Cricetulus griseus: one gene and its partners. The protein of the gene in region 3 interacts with the protein of the main gene of each other region in a biochemical or structural test. Links are inferred from orthologs where the notes say so. Each region holds a gene or a part of one and is shown on either strand. Other genes may lie near its edges. The genes, in order: Cse1l, Kpnb1 and Kpna2.

Evidence for each region.
Region 1: the proteins of Kpna2 (region 3) and Cse1l form a complex in vitro, tested with the Homo sapiens proteins (2 studies listed by BioGRID). The link is inferred for Cricetulus griseus from reciprocal best matches to the Homo sapiens genes KPNA2 and CSE1L.
Region 2: the proteins of Kpna2 (region 3) and Kpnb1 form a complex in vitro, tested with the Homo sapiens proteins (6 studies listed by BioGRID and IntAct, with this or other methods). The link is inferred for Cricetulus griseus from reciprocal best matches to the Homo sapiens genes KPNA2 and KPNB1.

The regions. Positions count from the first base shown.
Region 1 is NC_048599.1:12,530,273-12,537,220, reverse strand, and holds the start of Cse1l (exportin-2), read left to right. Parts: upstream 1-2,769; 5' UTR 2,770-2,905; intron 2,906-6,948. UniProt on the Homo sapiens protein: Export receptor for importin-alpha. Mediates importin-alpha re-export from the nucleus to the cytoplasm after import substrates (cargos) have been released into the nucleoplasm.
Region 2 is NC_048600.1:110,334,513-110,341,443, reverse strand, and holds the start of Kpnb1 (importin subunit beta-1), read left to right. Parts: upstream 1-2,683; 5' UTR 2,684-2,969; coding exon 2,970-3,009; intron 3,010-3,102; coding exon 3,103-3,161; intron 3,162-5,491; coding exon 5,492-5,674; intron 5,675-6,931.
Region 3 is NC_048600.1:119,947,272-119,954,365, forward strand, and holds the start of Kpna2 (importin subunit alpha-1), read right to left. Parts: upstream 3,862-7,094; 5' UTR 3,722-3,861; intron 2,244-3,721; 5' UTR 2,221-2,243; coding exon 2,146-2,220; intron 1,785-2,145; coding exon 1,647-1,784; intron 1-1,646.

The DNA of each region.
Region 1 (6,948 bases), on a different chromosome or scaffold from region 3:
AGAATAGTATGATTAAGATAATTGCTCATGAGGGCTGGAGAGATGGCTCAGAGGTTAAGAGCACTCACTGGCTGTTCTTCCAGAGGTCTCAAAAGAGTAATTCTCAGCAAACACATGGCGGCTCACAACCATCTGTAATGAAAACTGGCACCCTCTTCTGGCTTGCTCGAATGTATGCAGACAGAACTCTCTATACAAAATAAATAAATAAATACATCTTTAAAAGAAGATACTCCCTTATGGGCTGGTGTTATATCTCAATGGTAGAGTGCTTGCCTTGTATAAATGAGGTGTCAAGTTCAATCTCATGCCCCAACAGTAAACGCATTGTATTTACACATGACATTTCACCTACTCCTATGTGAATACCCAACACATGAGGGCTGGAGAGGTGACTCAGCGGTTAAAAATGCCCGCTGCTCTTCCAGAGGATCCAGGTTCAGTTCCCAGCTTCCACATGGTAGCTTACAACCATCCTTAATCTCAGTTCCAGGGGAACAAAGCCCTCTTCTGGCCTCCTTGGGAGCTGCATACATGTGGTGCACAGAAAATTAAAAACAAACCTTAAAAAAAAATACCCAACACATCTTGATTGAGCATCTAGGGTGTGCTAAGTACTGGGGTCACAGCTATAAAGAACAGTAAGCCCTAAGCTCTTTCATTAAGAGTCCTTGGGCTGATGGGTGATAATTGCAGAGACTTATAAATGCCAGACAGAAAGCATAATGAACGCTGGTTCTGGGGGTAACGGCACTGCTGCCAAGACTGAGGGCCTGAGTTCAATCCTTGGAACCCACAAGCTGGGGAGAAGTGACTCTCTGGGGAGAAGTTGTACTCTGACCTTTACACATGCACCATGGCACCCTTTTACCCCTCCCCCTACATAAATAAATGTTTAAAAATATTTTAACTCAGAATGATATAATGAAATCAAGCCTGCTAGATAAGATACAGAATGCCCAGCTGGCACACACCTTCAATCCCAGCACTCCGGCAGGCAGGCAGGCAGAGCTCTGTGAGTTTGAGGCCAGCCTGGTCTCCAGAGTGAGTGCTAGGACAGCCAGTGCTACACAGAGAAACCCTGACTCAAAAAAACAAAACCAAAAAAGATACAGAATTCCCAGTTCAATGGGAACCTTACATAAACAATGCATGCTTTTGCAGGGCAAGTGTTCTCCTGTAAATCTATTATAAAAATAAGTGTTTGCTCCCTGAAATTTGTGTCAAGTTGGGCAGCCTGTCTTTTACTGGCTAAATGGTGTGCTGTTGAGTTAAAGTTAAGGTGGAGTGGGCAATTTCAGACATCCCTGAGGAGCTGCCATTGTTCTGCGACCAAATGCAAAGGGAGCCAACCATTATTGGATCTAGAAGAGCATCCAGGCAGAGGTAGGAGCAAGTATCAGTGCTGTGAGGTAGGGTAAGCTTGGAGCTGGGAGGAACAGAGCAAGCAAGCTGAGCTGGCTTCCAAGCCCTCACCGTTCTCCCCAATGCTTGCCAGGCCAACAGGCACACAGCTGCCTCCTGGCTTTTGAAAAGGTAAATTTTCTCTTATTCAGGGGCCTCCCCTGTTCATCCCAGTTATCTTCAAGTTGCCACTGGCTACATCAACTGAAAAAAAAATTTTTTTTTGAGAAAGGATTTCACTCCCTATCTCTGACTGGCCTCAAATTCACTATGTAGACCATGTAGGGCTCAAATACATGGTGATTCTCCTGCCTCCGCCTCCTACACGCCAAGTGATGGGGTAATAAGCGTGTGCTATGTGCTGTGGAATCAATACATGGTGATTCTCCTGCCTCCGCCTCCTACACGCCAAGTGATGGGGGTAATAAGCGTGTGCTATGTGCTGTGGAATCTAGCTTCAGAAATCCTTCTAGGCTTCTAAAGTCTGTGTGTGTGTGTGTGCCTCAGTGTGTGTGTGTGTCTTCCTCAGTGTGTGTGTGTGATTCTCAGTGTGTGTGTGATTCTCAGTGTGTGTGTGTGTGTGATTCTCAGTGTGTGTGATTCTCAGTGTGTGTGTGTGATTCTCAGTGTGTGTGTGATTCAGTGTGTGTGTGTGATTCTCAGTGTGTGTGTGTGTGTGTGTGATTCTCAGTGTGTGTGTGATTCTTAGTGTGTGTGTGTGATTCTCAGTGTGTGTGTGTGTGTGTGTGTGTGTGTGTGTGTGTGTGTGTGTGTGTGTGATTCTCAGTGTGTGTGTGTGTGATTCTCAGTGTGTGTGTGTGTGTGTGTGTGTGTGTGTGCGCGCGCGCGCGTATGCGTCTTCTTCAGTTCCTCCCCACCTAAGTTTTTGAGGCAGGATCTCCCATGGAAACAGGAGTTCACCGATTAGCTACACTGGCCAACCAGCCCCAGGGATCTTCCTGTACCTGCTTTCCCAGATACGGGATTACAGTCAGCAGCCCAGGCGGACTTTTATTTGACTGCAGGGGATTCGAACTCATATCTTGTTAGTTTCATGGCCACCTTTAGCCAACCGAGCTATCCATCCCTCAGCTTGGGAGTCTTACTCATTCGGTTATTCTGCCTGTCCTAGAATGGACGGCCTCTCCCTTCTCTGACGGGAACGAGCACAGTCCATAGCACAGCCACTTGCAGAACAAGCCATGGTCTGAGCAAAGAAATCCAAACCAGCAGCCTGCGTCAAAGGACGTGGTCTCTCGCGACGCCACCGCAGAACCGAGCGGGGTTCCGATTGGCCCTTGCAGCCGGGGTGGGGCCAAAAGCAGCCCTGGCTCCGCCCCTTGTCGCGGCCTCTCTCGCACATGCGCCGTGGCCGCCACCCTCGCCGCCGCGCCATTTTGCCGGGGTTTGAATGTGAGGCGGAGCAGCGGCGGGAGTGGTAGCGTCGGCTGCAGCTCTCTCTCGCCTGGGATTCCCTCCTCGGTCTCGGTGTCCCCGCGAGGTGAGGCATGGGGTGAGCAGGGCGGCCGCGGGGAGGGGACGAGCGCTGGGAAGTGGGTGCGGGCCTGTGCGTGCGGCCGCGCTCCGGCGCCTCCCCGCACGCCGCCGCAGGGCCGGGCCTGACCGCTCCGGGAAGCCAGGGCAGCTTGAGGCTCGGCCTCACGCTGGCTCCCGCAGCTCCCGCCCCTTCCCCTCCGGCGCCGCGCTGATTGGTCGCGCCGCCGCCCTTCGCTCCGTAGGTGTCCGCTGATTGGCCGCGCCGGCGCGTCCGTTCTCGGCGCGCCGGCGGGGCCCGCAGCGTGAGCGGTGTTGGGCGCCGAGGCCTGAGTTGGCCGAGCCGGTCCGCACCCTGCTTCCGAAGGAGGCCGGAGCGTGCACCGCTTTGGCTTCGCGGGTCCTCGGGCTCCTCCGCAGGGGACCTGGGCCTCGGGGTCTCACCTGGCTGAGTCGTTCGCGCTCCTGGGAACTGAGGAACGTACAGTCGAACGGGGTTACCCTTCCTGGGGCGCGCTGGCTTTCTAGTTGGATAATCTGGCCTCTTGCATACACAGTCTCTCCCTAGGAGTGTAATTCAGAGCCGGTCGTCGTCTCTGTGAAAAAATGTAATGTTCTGATAAGGTGATGCTGGTGGTGGGTCCGTGTTCTCGCCCATGTTGAGCAATCTCTCCCTCGGAAATGGCATTTTTATCCTCACCTCAAACTCAGATTCATTCATCACTTGCACACTTGGTTAAGCGGCTTTGGGGTTCCACTGATTGTTGACTGTACTTCCCAGAGGTCTCACCTGAGCTGCCGTGCGCCTCACTCCATCTCTCCAGAAGCACTGTAGCCATGCTGACCCGCTCCTTTTTAAGAATTCCCCGCCTCTCTGCCTTTGAAGTTCCCCTCTTAGGCATCAGTTCTCACTTCTCAGTTCACATCACCCAGCTTTATTTTCCTCCACAGCATTGACCTTATAGGTAGTTCTTACTGCTTGTTTCTCGTCCTTTTCATCTGCTCTGATGTTAGCTCTTCGATGATAACCTTTCTTGTTGGTTGCACGTTTGCAAGCCACGTGATGGATGCTCCTGTTATTTCATGAAGACATGGAAGGCCTTTTTTTTTTTTTTAAGTTTTGGATGAAGGATCTGACCTCAGATTCATCATTCTACAAGTGTAGGCTACCACACCCAACTCCCTTTCACCCTGTTCCCATTTGCACATAGCAATTTTAACCCCCTCTGGTTTCTTTGATTTCTTTGATTTGGGAAGCCATTCTCTACCAGGGATTGGGTGAGTGAGAGCAGTACTCTAATTGTGGAATTGATTTATTGCTTTATTTGTTGTTTCTCTTTGGGGACCTTATATTCTAGTTTCGGGGAGAACATGAATTAGATTATTTCAGGTAGTGACAAGTGACAGAAAGCTGACAGGTGAAGACATTTTCTCTGAATAGGTGGCATTAGAGCAGAGACTATCCAGGGGAAAGTGAGGGAACAGCATTTCAGGCAGAGGGAGTAGGATGCACAATTTCAAGTCTAGAAACTGACTTGGAATATTGGGATATTTTAGGAAATCCAGTTCAGTTGTGTGAAGAATAGAGAGATGGGACTTTGTAGGTAGTGCACGGAGTTTGGATATGATACAGAGTGGTAGATTACTGTGATTGATTAGAAGCAGAGAAAGGCAGTAGGCACTCAAGTTACTGCCCAGCCTTCTGTTCTCTTGAAGTGTAGTTAATAACTGTTCTTTTAAAAAAGCTAAGGATAGGGTAGGCAAGATGGATTGAGGGCAGGTAATCCTTACCTAGCCTAACAACCTGGATTTGTTCCCTGGTATCCACATGGTAGAAGGAGAGAACTGACTCCTGCACATTGTCTTCTGACTTCCACACACATGCTGTAGCACACGTGCACACAGTAAATGCATATGGTAAAAATTATGGTGACAGGAGAGGTGGCTCAGGAATCAGAAGCATGTATTGCCCTTGCAGAGGACCCAAGGTAAGTTTCTAGTACCCATGGGTGGCTCACTGTTGCCTATATTTCTAGCTCCAGGGGATCTGATGGCCTCTGCCTTCCTTGGGCATCTGCTGTCAAGTGTACATACATAAAGGCAGAAACATACAGAGATACACACATACACATACATTTGTTAAAAATTTTAAGGTGAGGATAGGTGTTAAGTTATGCTCTTACTATGTATTATAGGTTTTCATTTACTAGATTTCTTCCCCTCTCCTCAGATGTAAGGAAGGCCTCAGAAATGGGTATCTCAGTGCAGTAGACATATCTAAGAAAAAGGCAAATATCTTGGGTCATTTTTATCTTGGGTGTTTGTGAGATGACGATAGGAAACAGTGTTTATTCCCAAAACCTTCATTTGTAACTGTAGGAAGAGGCTAGACTTTCAGTTACTCATTCAAGATTTTTTTCAAAAGATGTAATCATTTTTTTGTGTGTGTTTAAGTGTTTGCCTTTGTGTACTATGTGTGTGGCTGATACTGAGGAAACCAGAAGAGGGTGTCATTCCCTGGAATTGGAGTTTCAAATGGTTGTGAGTTGCAGTGTGGGCATTGGGAATTAGTCAAGGTCCTCTTATAGCCGTTTGTTCTTTGACTAAGCAAGAGTCATCTAGGAAGCAGGAACCTTAGTTGATGGATTGTCTCCATCAGGTTACCTGTAGGCAAGACTCTGGGATTATTATTATTATTAATTTTTTGATTACTGATTATTATAGGAAGGCCTAGCCCACTATTGGTGGTACCACTCCTGAGCATGTGGTTCTGGGTGGTATAAGAAAGCAAGCTGAAATCCCAGCACTGGGAGAGGCAGAGACAGGCAGATCTCTTGGAGTTTGAGACTAGCCTGGTCTACAGAGCAAATTCCAGGACAGGCTCCAGAGATTCATCTTCCTCTGCTTCCTAAATTCTGGGATTAAAGGCATGTGCCACCACTGCTCAGTTTGAGCATGGTATTTATAGCTATAGAAAGCATACAGCAAGCAGCAAGTTCTCTTAATTGCTGAACCATCTCCCCAACCCCAAGTTTTTTGGGGGGCTGGTGAATGCGTCAGTAGAGCAAACACAAGTACTAGAACTCAAATCTCAGCACTCATTTATAGTCATGTGGAACATGAATGCCTGTAAGCCCAGCATTGTGGGTGGGAGACAAGCTATCCCAAAATTGTATCAAACTTGTGGGTCATAACCTGTGCCCCAAGTTAGGTCTGGCCACCCATTCTGAAGCTCAGTATTGACTCCCCTTGGGGTAAGTCCTTTTATAGCTAAGGGAAAAGGACTGCAGTAAGAATACAGATAGCATAGCTTTTCTTTTTTTTTTTTGAGGGTCTTGGTTTCTGGCTGTTGGCACATTAGAGAGTAGTCCTTGTCTTTACTTTTTCTCAGTGTGTATCAAGATGAAAGCTTAGCAGACTATGGTAGTACTGTGATTGTGATTATGCCTGTAATCCCAGTTCTTGACAGAGTTGTTCAAGGCCAGTTTGTGAGACCTTGTCTCTCTCTCTCATTCTTTAAAAGGGTGGTATTGGTGTCTGGTCGTCCTCCTTGACTGCAGCTCCTTTCTCCAGCTTCCAGGTTGCTCTCTTTAACACTGGGCTTTCTGTTATGTTCTTAGTTCAACCTTGTCATTTCCACTTAGAGGCTGCCTTGGGGAGCAGAAAAAGTATCATGAATCAGGCAGGTAGATTTGAGTTGATAGCAACATGGGCATGTAAATTAGCCACCGAGTTCCCTCCCTTATTGTAGTTTGAGATTAATGGTGCACAGTGGTGGCACATGCCTTTAATGCCAGTGCTTGGGGATAGGCAGAGGCAGGTGGATCCCCGAGTTCAAGACCAGCCTGGTCTACAGAGCAAGTTAAGGACAGCCAAGGGTACACAGAAAAACTGTCTCAAAAAACAAACAAACAAATGGTAAAGCAGATAAATTCACCTAGCACTGTATGGTTAGCTCATACAAATTACCCCTTCCTGTTTTCAAAACAGTCTGAACATTCTTTACTTCTGTTCTGCAAACTATTACCAGCTCAAAGTTCCAAATTCTTT
Region 2 (6,931 bases), about 9.6 Mb from region 3:
TGGACAGGTTTGTGAGGGTATTTCCTGGGTGGGTTAAATGATGATGGGGGAGTCTCCCCTAGAGTGAACAGGCTTTTCAGTGGTAGCCAAGAGGGTTTTTCCTGCCAGCCTTCACACTCTGCAGAGCAGTGTATCTAGCAGGTGGCTGCTGCTGTCATCTTCCACTAAAACCAGATTCTTTGGCCTTCCAACATGGATTGGAGATGAGCGGCTATCCAGGAATCCTCTAGGCCGCCAGTACCAGGTTAGACTGTTATTGTATCCACTCAGCCCTGTGCACTGAAAAGCTAATGGGGAAACTAATGAACTAAGCAAACCCTCTCCCGTCATACTCGCAAAGCAGCCCTTCTAGTTGACAGAGCAAAAGGTTTGGGCTAGGGAACTGGTAAGCCAGAGGAAATGAACTAGTTAAAAGATGGTATTAAGGGCCTGGCGGTGGTTGTGCACACCTTTAGGCCTTTAATGCCAGTAGTCGGGGGCAGAGGCAGGTGGATATCAGTGACCAGGCCAGCCTGGTCTAAAATGCAAGTTTCAGGACAGCCAGGCCTATTACACAGAGAAACTCTGTCTTGAAAAAAAAAAAAAAGCATGAGGAATGATGGACCTACACTTCTTGCAAAACTAAGTTTCTTGAGTTTCTATATTGTATAATGACTCACTTTTGCCTTAAGAATCAGTTATGGAGGCACAGGATCAGCGTGTGTGTGTTTCCATGTGTAGGTGTGTCCATACGCTTGCACAGTGAAGAGCATCCCAGCATTCAGGGATCTGAGGAAGGCAGATTATGGAAAACCTGAAGCCAGCTTGTGAATCTTAGACCAGATACAGAAAGGAACCCCATCTCAAGGAAAGACAAAAGCCCACACAACAACAACAAAAGACTCCAAAAAACCAAACCAAATAAATCCACTACCAACAAATAATTTTTTTTGATAATGTTTTCAATGAAAACATTACAATAAACTAATTTCCTGGCTTGGTGATATATGCCTTTAATCCTAGCAGTTTCTTTTATCACTTATTTATTTGGTTTTTCAAGACAAGAATTTGTCTATCTGTAGTCCTAGCTGTCCTGGAAATCACTCTGTAAACCAGGCTAGCCTCAAAATCAGACATGCTTGCGCAACTCTGCCACCCAAATTCTGGGATTAAAGGCGTGGGCCACCATCGCCTGGCTAATTCTAGCATTTAGAAGGCAAAAGCAGGTAGGTCTGAGCTCAAGACCAGCCTGGTCCAACCTAGTGATTTCCAGGCCAAGACATCTTTAGGAAACAAGAAACTAAAACCCACACTTGCATGCTGACCACAAATAAATAAATAAAACCTTAAAATCAAAGTTAAGGTGAATGTAATCAGAACATATTATTAAACATATATAAAGCTGTCAAAAAACAAATTGAAAAATACAACAAAGAAATTACAGGTTGGCTGGCCAAGTCGGTCTATCCTTCCAGAAAATATTCGTGGGTTTCCCAATGTGGCTAGCGCACAGCAATTTCTTCCTGGGCCTATCTGCGGCTCCTGAACCCCTGGCTTGCGGCTCAGGCTCCCCAAGTGGGGAGGGGAAGGGAGGGGGAGTGTAAAACAACTAGGTGCACCAGAGTTTTGTTTGAAACAGGATCTCAGGCGGTAGCCCAGGCTGCCTTGGCCTTCGGGATACTGAGACTGTAGGTGCTGCCACGCCTAGTCAGTGCACATGCTCTATGTCACATCCTTTCGGTGTAAGCTCCATCACCGGTTGTTTGAGGTAGCTGTTAAGTCTAAGGACGCACCTCCGCGAAACTTTGTAACCGCAGAGGTCCAGACAGGGACTCCAAGGGCAATTAAGCACGCCTGAACCCAGCCCCGATGGAGTCTTTAATCGGCTGTGTGACCTTGGACACGCTCCACGCTCTCTCTGGGCTTCAGTTTCCGAATCCGCACGTTGGAAGGTGAACCACGTGGCCCTCACGGTGCTGCTCAGCGCAGAGCCCGGCAGAGAGCAGACCTCGCCATTTACGGCGGCTTCCTGTGGGCGCGGCACAGGGCTTTAACGGTCCCCCTCCCCGCACCCTCGCAACCCTCACTTTTATGGCCCCGCCGCCGGGGACCGCACTACGAGGAGACCACTTGGAGCGGCTCGCGCGCGCCTCCGCCCCGCCCCGGAGGCGTCCCGTCGTGCCCCGCGCTAGACTCTCAGCAGCACGGGGCGACTCCCGCCTTTACGCCCGGCGACCCCGAACTCCTCGCCCCAGGTCTCCCGGCGCCCCGTCCTATCAACGTCCAGTATCCCAGCCAATCGGGCGCGCTGCGAGTCTTACCTTCCGCCCGCCTCCTCCCCGCGCACAGCCGGTGTGAGCCCGAAGGCCTCTACCGGGACCGCCCAATCAGAAGCCCGCACTTACCTGCCCCACCCCGACGTCCCTCCCCTCGCCCAATGAGCGCGCCCCATTCGGCTGCCCGCCCAGCCAACCGGGCCTTGAAGCCCGCGAGCGAATAGGCGCGCGGCGGCCCTTCAACGCTAACCTTCTAGCCAATCGGGGAGTCCGCGTAGCCGCGGCAGCAGCCAATCGTTGTGCAGCGCGGTGCCGCCGCGGAGAGGTCCGGCAAGAATATCCCTCCGCCTCCCTCCCTCAATCTCTCTCCCTCCCAGAGATCCGCCTCTCACTTACTGCCGCCCTTCCTTCTTTCTCCCTCCGCCGCCTGAGCACCAGCCGCGCTCTGAGCTGCCCCCGGGGTCCCTCCCCCGCCGCCAGAGGAGCAGCTGCCGCCGCCTAACACATTAGGAGGGCGGAAGGAAGGAGAGTGGGGAGGAAGGGGAGACAGAGCGCCTGCCCAGAGGCAGCCGGTGAATGGGCTTGTGGTGACCCCCGCCCCCCACCCCACCCTCCCTTCCCACCCGACCCCCAACCCCCATCCCCAGTTGGAGCCGCCGCCCGAGAGGCCGGGCCGTCGTCTTTGGAAGAGTCCCCGCCGCCGTCACCTCCGCCATGGAGCTGATCACCATCCTCGAGAAGACCGTGTCTCCGGGTAGGACTCGGGGCCGGGGGTCGGGCTGAGGTGACTGGGGTGGGGGAGGGGGTGGCCCCTCTGACCCCGCTGCCTCTCCCCATTCCTCCCCAGATCGGCTGGAGCTGGAAGCGGCGCAGAAGTTCCTGGAGCGTGCGGCTGTAGAGAACCTGGTGCGTGCTGCCCCGCCGCGCCCCATCCCGCCGCGTCCCCATCCCTGCGTGCGGGCCTTCCGCCCTCCTGGAGGCCCAGGCCTCAGGAACCCACCCCGCCCCATCTCGTCCCCCTTCCCCCCCCTCCGCCCGCCCGCCCGGTCCAACCTAACCCCGCCATCGGGAAGCCGGTGGGTGTGTCCCGCCCCGGGCCCTGCGTCTGGCCAATGGCGAGGCGAGCCGGGGTGATCGCTGTCCAATCGCCTCGCGGCCTGAGGGCGGCGGTGCAGCGGGAGGGAGAAAGAGGGAGGGAAGGGAAGTTAGGTTGCATGGCGCTGCGTGTTCAGCAAGGGTGGGGGTTGGGGAGCCGGGCCTAGGGGCCATGTGGAAGCTCAGCGCCCTGCTGCCTGCCTTCTACTGGCGGGTGCCGGCTTTTCCTTCCAACCCCATGCCTCTTGTGGCTGTCTGCACCTACTTTCCAGAGCCCTACCCTTTCGCAGCTCCCATGGTCTGCTCAGGGCCACGCCTGGCAGCCGACCACCTCTGAACCCATTGCCACTATTTTTTTCCCTTTCGGGCCCTGTTATCCCTCTCCTGAGCTAAGCGTGCGTGTATGTTATGTTTGGGCTTGGATCATTAGGGACCTCATCCTTAGGGATCTGTATCCTGCCCAGAGTCTGAGCCTCATTCCTGAGATTGGGCTTTATTCCCTGAAGAAATCACAGTTACCCCGTTTTTCATATTTTCTCATTTAAGAGGTACATTTAAAAAGAAAAAAAAAGCAACCTGACCTGTGTGTAGGAAAATGAGAGATGATTGAAGTAGTCTCGTGCCAGAATGTTTCTCTTTGGTAGCCCTCTCTCCTCTCAGGGGTTGGTAACAGGGAAGGGTGGATGGTACTGAAAGTCTCTAAAAGGTAGTAAGTTGAAAGAACACTGTAACCAAATGTAGTCCTTTGTGATGGCTTGGTAAAATAGTAACATCCATAGGGACAGAACACATTTGTGCAAACCGCCTTTTCAGTACTTAGGTAAGGGACTTTTTATTAACCTTTCATCTTTTAGTGCACCCCCTTTTAAGCATTTCCTTGTTAGTGTAGAATGAGAATTCCACTCATGGTATATTTTGTTTATTTGCAAAAAAAAATCCTTTACCTTGCTCCTATCACTGTTTAGTGCCATATAGTAAACCTTTGGGAATTACCTCCTGTATTTTTAAGAGTTAGCTAATAGTAAGGAAATATGTCTACTTTTGCCACTTTAACTTTCTGTTTGGGCAGGTTCATACACACGAGCGCGCGAGCACACACACACACACACACACACACACACACACACACACACACACACACACACACACACACACACACACACACACACACACACACACACACACACACTCACACACACACACACACACACACACACACACAGAGGTGATTTTTGGACTTGTATTTTAAAGAGTGGATATTTTCAAAACTTGAGAGGGCTATTGGTACAGAAAATGATTTTTCTTGAGACAACTTATCTTGCCATGTCATTTGGTTTTTCAAGACAGTGTTTTTCTGTAGTTTTGGAGCCTGTCTTGGAATTCACTCTGTAGATCAGGCTGGCTTTGAACTCACAGAGATCCACCGTCTCTGCCCTCCAAGTGCTGGGATTAAAGGTGTTCGCCACTGCTGCCTGGCTTTGTCTTGTCATTTTTATCTTCATTTTTTCCCATTTCTGAATATTAGTTATCACTTACCACTTAAATCCCTGTTGTTGGACACTCAGAACTAGGCTGCAAGGACTAGGTACTTTCATCTGTTGTAGACTTAACATATATTTCTGTTACAAACGTTCACTTGTGTAAGATCAGAAAGCTGCACTGAGTGTTACTATTTTGGACTAGATTTTAATTTTAAATTATACACCAATTTTCTCCCTCATCCTGTATCAGCAAATTTGCAGTAGTATATATAGGTGCATTGGGAACCTTGAACCTAGGATAACCCAGTGTTAGGTTGTCACTTTTCTTTAATTCTGGGGAGCTGTCTGAACATTTGTGCACAAGGGATGATCTTGGTAGGAAGACACCATCTCTTTGTATAGTAAGTAATGTTTTTATAGAACTTACTTTGAAGTTGGATCCTGTTAAATTGCCTCATTTGTTTGGCTTTAAGATTGCTGAACCCAAGGAAACCTCTTGAGTGTTGAGTCTAGGCAGGTACCACTTCAAATAGATATTTCACAGGCTCCTGAGAGATTTGAATGTGATCTAAATTTCTTTTGTGTGTGTCTCAGTATTTGAATGTTCTACAAGGAAGTTGGAATTTCTGAGATGCTCACAAATTCATCTTTTCTCAATAGCCCACGTTCCTTGTGGAACTGTCCAGAGTGCTGGCAAATCCAGGAAACAGTCAGGTTGCCAGAGTTGCAGCTGGTCTACAAATCAAGAACTCTTTGACATCAAAAGATCCAGATATCAAGGCACAGTACCAGCAGAGGTGGCTTGCTATTGATGCTAATGCTCGACGGGAAGTCAAGAACTATGTAAGTGACTGTCATATGGCCTAAGGAACAGTGTTGTAAGGGCTTGGTCATTTGCATGGCATAGAACTTGACAATGAAGGGGCTGGAGAGGCTCAGAGTTTTAAGAGCATTGGCTGCTCTTCCAGAAGTTCTGAGTTCAATTCCCAGCAAGCACATGGTGGTTCACAACCATCTATAATAAGTTCTGGTGCCCTCTTCTGGCATGTAGGCATGCCAGAACAACAGTATACATAATAAATAAGCTCTTAAAAGCAAAAAAAGAACTTGATAGTGTTTCTGAGACCTAAACTTTACCTGAAGGTAGAAATTCTGTTTCATTAAAAATCTCTCAATGTGGCAAAAGGTGTTTGGCGATTGGTTGGGTTCTGCTGACTGAACCAGCAGTTTGGGATCTCTGGTTAGAATTGGGGAAATGCAAGTTTTGGTGCTATATATATCATCACCACCTAAGAAATTTCACCTTTTTTTTTTTTTTTTTTTTTTTTTTTTGGTTTTTCGAGACAGGGTTTCTCTGTAGCTTTGGAGGCTATCCTTGGCACTCACTCTGGAGACCAGGCTGGCCTTGAACTTACAGAGATCCTCCTGCCTCTGCCTCCCGAGTGCTGGGATTAAAGGCATGCGCCAACAACGCCCGACCGAAATTTCACTAATGTTATGTGTGTCTCTGTGTCAGAGTTTAGCTCAGTGATAGAGGCTTCTAGAATCTATAAAGCCTCAGGTTCTCTCATTTGTTCACATAAGAGAATGAAGTATTTTATGTATTTGGGATCTCTAGAGTAAAGCTGGGAATTCTTTCCATTCAGTCTTATGTAGTCCAGGCTAGCATCAAATATCTGACTGTCCTGTTTTTACTTCTGAAAAGCTGGTATTATGTTTTACCACACTGCACTCTGATTTTGTGTGTGTGTGTGTGGGGGGGGTGTTAGGTAGTCCAGCTGGCCATGAATTTACAATATAGTAAAAGAGAACTATGAACTCTTTACTTTCTTTTACCTTACCTTACTTTTACCCTGAATGCTGGGTGCAGGTGTATGTCACCATGTCTGGATTTTCAGAGATATTTTAGAATATTTTCTTTCTTTTTCTAATGTTTGGGTGCCTTTGGAAGCCAGAGGAGGATGTCTGGTCCCCTGGAACTAGTTAATGTGCCATTGTTAGCCATCAGGCAAGGGTGCTGGGAACAGACCTGAAGTGCTATTAACTGCTGAACTGTCTCCCCAGCACAGTCAGCAGCTCCTGTTGAGCTTTAGTGGTGGC
Region 3 (7,094 bases):
ACAGAGCAAGCCTGAGACTAAGCCAATAAGCAATGCTCTTGCATTCGCATTTACTTCTTTGGTTAATGGACTATAACCTGTAAGCCAAGTATACCCTTCCCCCACCCAAGTTGTTTTTGGCAGTGTTTTATCACAGCAACAGAGAAACCTAACTAAAACACTAACACTCATTACAATTTGAAATAACTTTAGAAGATTAGGCCATTTTATTTCTTCATCGTGGAAGGGGAAGGACTCAAAGTCCCACCCCTTCTTGGGGGACTACTGACAGTTAATGACAGCTGGGGAAAGGGGTGAACTTCCTTCAGGGGTATAGCCACTGACAAAGTTCCTCCAGTATATAAAACAGACAGGAAAAACAAGGAAGACTTGTTGAGAAAAGGGGTTTCATAAGATGGGATGAGACCAGGAAACAGCGTGAAAAGGACTACTATTCATTTTATACATGTATAAACATTCACAAAATAACAAATAAGTTTGCAGCCATGCATAGAGGCCCATGCTTTTTAACCCCAGCAATCAGGAGGTAAAGGCAGGCAGATCTCTGTGAATTTGAGGCCAGTCTGGCCTACATGAGTTCTAGGACAGCCAGAGCTACATAATGAGATCCTGTCTCAGAAAACAAGTTTGGAAGAAAAGGATGTCTCAGACCCAACAATATATTAATTAAAAAACAATTACCTTTTTACTTTGAGATTAAAATTAAAATAAGCAGAAACATCTAAGACATAGAATAGTAAAAGAGATCAAATGTTAAAAAGAAAGGAAAAAATACTGGCTGGGCAGTGGTGGCACGCTCCTTTAGTCCCAGCACTTGGGAAGCAGAGGCAGGCAGATCTCTGTGAGTTCGAGGCCAACCTGCTCTACAGAGTGAGTGCCAGGAGAGGATCCAAAGCCACACAAAGACCCTATCCTGAAAAACCAAAAAGCTAGTAAGTGCCCAACATTGCCTTACTCCTGGCAGGTCATCACTAGGGTAGTGCACGCCTTTAACCCTAGCACTCTGGAGGCAGAGGCAGCCTGGTCTACAGAGTGAGTTCTAGGACAGCCACAGCCAAGGCTACACAGAAACCCTGTGGGGAACATGGGGGCGGATCTTTTTCCCCAGGGGCTATGCATTGATCCTGCAGGGGACCAAATGCAATCCACAGCACCCACATTATTAGGTGGCTTATACCTGCCTGTAACTCCAGTTTAGGGGACATAACCTCTCTGGCCTCCTGCACATACTCAGACACAAACACAAATACACTTCTTAAAAAACTAAAAATCTTAAAAAAAACAAAGAATTGTCATACATTCAACAGTCAAAAGTAGATTACCAGGCATGTCCAAGAATTTTTACATTTAGCCAGCAGTGGTGGCTCATGCCTTTTATCCCAGTACTCCTAAGGCAAAAAGGCTGGTGGATCTGAGTCCAAGGCCAGCCTGGTTGACAAAGCCAAGGCCACACAAAGAAATTTTGTCTAGAAACCAATCCCCCTCAAAAAAAAAATTCTAATTTCTAAGAGACATTTATTCTTTTTTGGGGGGAGCACAAGCCTCTAATCCCAGCAATCAGGAAGCAAAGGCAGGCAGATCTCTGCAGAGTTCCAGGACAGCCACAGCAGTTATACAGGGAGGGAGAGCACTGTCTAGGTATGTACCTGATTGTTTCGGTTTTCCTGCAAAGGAGAAGTAGCATCGTCGGGAAATGAGCTGACATTTCTCCTTTTCAGCATCTGGTCATCTTTCTTCGCTTTCCTCAGTTCCACATTAACTTCTATTCGGCGGCGCCGCATTTCCTGAGGAAAAGACAACACAACACCTCATTTTATCTATAAGCTTTTCCTGACAAGTCATTTCTTTAAACCCCTCAAAGGTCAGCAAGAGATGGCTCATTGTCTAAAAGGCACCTGCCACCAAGTCTCAGGACTTCAATCCTGCAGAGTCAGGCGGAGGAGGGAACCATTGCCTGCAAGCTGTCATTCTCACCTCTGCATTTGCACCAGGTATGCACAGACACACAATAAATAAGACTAGAGATAAAACTCAGGAATAAAGAACCCATCTAACATCAGTAAGGCACTGGATTCAATCCCTAAAATGTGTTATATAAACACCCCTTCTTATTTCCATTTAAAAGTGTCGACAGAAGGTACTCACTGTACTGTCTTTCCCCTTGTTCTTGAATCTGTTAAGCCGGGCAGCTGGTGAATTAGCATTCTCGTTGGTGGACATGGTTACAGGAATCCGGGAGAAAGCTAGTAGACAAGGGAGGGTGAGAAAAAAAAGAGCACTTTTTAAATAAGAATACAGCAGAAGCCAGGCGGGGCATACTAACATTCGCCTTTAATCATAGCACCAGGGAGGCAGAGGAAGGCGGGTCTCTTGAGTTTAAGGCCAACTAGAATATAAAAATCAAAGCCGAGCGTGGGTGGCGCACGCCTTTAATCCCAGCACTCGCCTTTAATCCCAGCACTCGGCAGAGACAGGCCGATCTCTGTGAGTTCCAGGCCAGCCTGGTCTCCAGAGCAAGTGCCAAGATAGGCTGCAAAGCTACAGAGAAACCCTGTCTCGAAAAACCAAATAAATAAATAAAATAAAAATCAACTATATATTGACTCCATCTGTATGCTAGACAAGAAAAACCCACAAGCTTTCAGTTTTATGGCTACAGCATTAAGTCCAGTGGTTAAGTGCTCCTCCTGCAAAGGGATTAAACTTCTGGCAACGCAGCTGTCAATCAGAAACAGGTTTTTAATCAAACATTTAAATTTTCCACTAACCACATTTTTAAAAGGCTAAAAAGCAACAAATGAAATTAACATAGAAAAATAAACATGTTTCACCGTTTTAATACACCTTCAGAATCCTATGTGTAGTTTATGCACGCAGAGCATCTCAACTCAGATTATCGGCTTTTCACAAACTCAATGACCTAAAGCCTCTGGCCAGCGCGGTATTAAGCCGGGGCTCCACATTCTGGACACCGACTAGGGGCACCCCGCCTGGTTTTTAGTTAACAATCTACCTCCTTAAGGCAATAAAGGCACTTCTGGTCTTTTTCTGTTGATTCATGGCCCGAATGCATACACATACATCAGGCACCTTCCATCAGGTTACACAGCGACTTGGCTGGTTGCGTTACAGAGCCTTCCACAACCCTCGCTGTCAGCAGTGACATTGGCACCGCGTCTTCAGCGTCCCGCACGCCCTGGACAGGACAGGCTTTCCGGTCTGTGCATTCAATTCGAGTGACACCAGCCGTGGACACTGTCTGGGGCTCGACTTTCTATCGCAGGCGTGATCGCCACAATGTGACAATCTGCTACCGAGGCGAAAACCTCGGGAACTTCCTCCCCGAGGCTGGCGCCGGCGGCCCGGCTCAAGCGTCTCACGGGGGAGTCCTAACTGCCACCACTCCGCCTCCGCCTCCGCTCCAGCCCACAGCCCCGACCCTCCCCGGGCAGAAGCGGCGGGAAAGCGGCGGAGAGGCAGCCGGGTGCGCTCGTCTGCGGCCGGTGTCCCCGACGCCGCCCCTCGCGGGGCCTGCGCCGCCCTCCGCAGCGACCGGTGCGGCCAGGCCTGGCACCGGCACCGGCACGGCGGAACCACCCCGCCCCGCGGCCTCGTCTGGGCACGGAGGCCCAGCACACGCCCGGCGCGGCCTGCTCCCGCCTTCCCGCCCGCTCCGCGTTCCGGCCGGCCGTTACCGTCCAGGCCCGGCCGCGGCTCCCACCTGCTCAGCCGGCTCAGGCGTCCACGAAAGGCGGTGCGGGGCTCTCAGCCTGCGGGGTCGGCGGCCCTCGAAACGTCCACTGCGCCTCAGCCCTCAGACTTTGTGCCTCGTGCTGCCGGCCGGCGCGATTTAAATTTCCCGGTGACGCCGCATCCCGATTGGCTGGTTTGAGCCTAAGCTGTGCGTTCATTGGCGGATTTGAAAAACACGTTGGGGGGGGCACGGACGCCGGGCCTGGGGGAGGGAGGAGGTGGGGGTGGGGTGGAGGGGAGGGTAGCATCGCGAGATGAGGGAGCGGCCGGACAATCCCAGAGTGCCTTGCAAGAGTGGTGATCCCGGAGCTCGGCGCGCGACGCTGAAGGGTGTGTGTCGTCTCTGCCTAGGCGGGACGCTGGGCAGAGCCCTGTTTGCTCTCTCTGGGGCCTGCCCTTAAGCAAATACACGGAATTATTATTAGACGCGTTATCTTAAAAAATAAAAGTTTAGCCTGGCGTAATTGGCGTAGGCAGAGGCAGGAGGATTGCTGTGAGTTCAAGGCGAGCTTGTCTACATAGTGAGGCCAGCCAGGGTTACATGGTGAGACCCCGTCTGAAAAAGGACCCACCAAAATAATAACAAATGCTTAACATAAATACATTGATTTTCATTTTTTTTCCTCATCGAAACACCAGAGGTTTAGCAGGGGCTGGTCACTGGGAGAAAGGAGTGAAGCAGATCTGTGTGGCTCTTTTAATAATCATTGTGTGTAGTGTATTAATTATTATGTTGTTTTTTTAAGATTTATTATTATGTATACAGCTTTATGTCTGCATATGATCCTGCACACAAGAAGAGGGCACCAGATCTCATAATGGATGGTTGTGAGCCACCATATGGTTGCTGGGAATTGAACTCAGGACCTCTGGAAGAGTAGTTGGTGCTCTTAACCTCTGAGCAATCTCTCTAGCCCCCTATTATTATGTTGTTGTTTTTACTGTTTATTGATTATTTATTTATTTGTTTATTTATTTTGGTTTTTCGAGACACGGTTTCTCTGTGGCTTTGGAGTCTGTCCTGTAACTTGCTCTTGTAGACCAGGCTGGCTTTGAACTCACAGAGATCTGCCTGTAGAGCAGTCTGACCTCAAACTCACAGAGATCCACCTGTCTCTTCCTCCCGAGTGCTGGGATTAAAGGCGTGTGCCACCAATGCCCAGCGATTATTTAATTTTTATTACGGGGACTAGGAGTGAGACAGGGTCTCAACAATAGAGCCGGGGCTAGCCTTGAACCTGTTGCAATCTTACCTCAGCACCAATTCTGGGATTACAGAGATGTTCCACTTTATCTAGTTGTATGTCAAATGTTCAGATTACTTGGGAAATAAAAAGACAAAGCAGCAAATATGGTAACAAATGGCTTATTAAGTGCCTATTTTCACCTTACACTTTCTTTAAAACTTCATTAATTCTGTTTGGTTTGTTGTTTTGGAATTTTATTTATTTATTTTATATTATTTTGGGGGGGGGTTGAGACAGGGTTTCTCTATTTATTTATTTTAGACGAGGTTTCTCTGTGTAACCCTGGCTGCCCTGGAACTCACTTTGTAGACCACACTGGCCTCCAACTCACAAAGATTCCCCCAAAGGTGTGTGAAACCACCACCAGGCAAAACTTCAATAATACAAGTGTACACCGCCTTTAATCCCAGCACTCAGAAGGCAGAGGCAGGTGGATCTCTGTGAGTTCGAGACCAGCTTGATCTACATAGTGAGTTCCAGGATAGCCAGGACTACAAAGAGAAATACTTTTCAGGGATTCGGATGGGGGCAGAAAAGAGATGGCTCAGAGATAAGAGCATTGCCTGCTCTTTCAGAGGACCCAGGATCAATTTCCAGCACCCAGATGGCAGCTCACAACTGTCTATAATTCCAGTTCTCCAATTCCAGGGGATCCAACACCCTCACACAGACATACATGCAAGCAAAACACCAATAAATAAAAGTAAATAAAAACAATTTTTTTTTCTTAAAAGAGAGATTGTTTTATATAACCACACTGGAAACCCTCAATTTCAGGAAAAATTCAATTTCCATGCTATCATCAATCTGTATTCATTTTTTGTGGTCTAATTATTTTCAAACATGAAAGATATTTAAAAGCATCAGGATTGTGAGCCATTTTTTGTGTTCTTCTTGAAATTTTTCTGGGTGCTTTAAAGGAGTATTTTAGGAAAATTGTAGTGGCTTATTTTGTACAAATAAATGCAAGCAGTACACTCTGTCTATTCTCGAAGGCATCCATGCCAGTTTCTCTCTAGCATAGCCGAGAAGTTCACAGGCAGTTTGTTGCTCCCAATCTGACCTGCTAAATGCAAGAATGTGGAAGGAATCCATTCTCAACCAATCACCGCCAGGCATTTTCTTGGCTGCTGTGAATGGTTCAGGGGCAGGCACACGACCTAAATGCACCCTTTTGGGGCGCCTATGTCCTTTGTTTAGTAGTTGGAGGTAGGAACAACTTCTGAGTCTTAAACTCTGAATAAGGAACTTGGAGAGAAATGTTGAGAGTTCTGATCCACATCCTGCACTACTTCTCAAAGCTGATGGTGCCCCTCAGAAGTTTGCAGTTAGTGATCCAATGCCTGTTACCTGCATTGTGAAACTGAGCTTTCTTTCCCAAGAAAACAGTGAGTACTGTGTTCCCAAGTGTTTCCGTGCTATTCGTGTAGTAATCGTTACAGATAGGATATCATAAATAGTCGAGTGATTTGTCCCAGGTTTACAGAGACAACAAATGACAGGCAGGAGTCAAGCTTGCTGTACTAGTGCCTGAAAAGAAACTGAAACACAACTATAACGTCAAGAGTTTCCTTGAAGGCCAAGTGTGGTGGGACAATTAATCCCAGCAGTATAGAAGCAGAGACAAGTGGATGTTCGTGAGATCAAGGCCAGCCAGATCCACATAGTGAGATCACATCCTGTCCAAGCTATACAGTGAGACCCTGAAGAGGAGCAGAGAGGTGACCCAGTGTTAAGAATACTGTGGCTCATAAGGAGGCCTCTGCACTCCAGGGGGCCCTGGTAGGGGATTAGTATTTTCCCTGGTGTAAGAAGGGAATTTGAGAGCCCATCCCACATGAAGGGATGCTCTCTCGGCCTGGACACGTGGGGGAGGGCCTAGGCCCGGCCCAGGATGATGTGGTAGACTGTGGGGAGCCACTGTCAAGAGCCCTACCCTGCCTAGGAAGTGGAGGGTGGATGGGGTGGGGGACAAGTGGGATGTTAGGGGGAGGGTTGGAGGGGAGGGGAGGGAGAGGGAGAAGGGACATGTGAAGCAAGCTTGTTCCTAATTTGAACTAATAAAAAAAAATAAGAAAAAAAGTCCAAATCAAA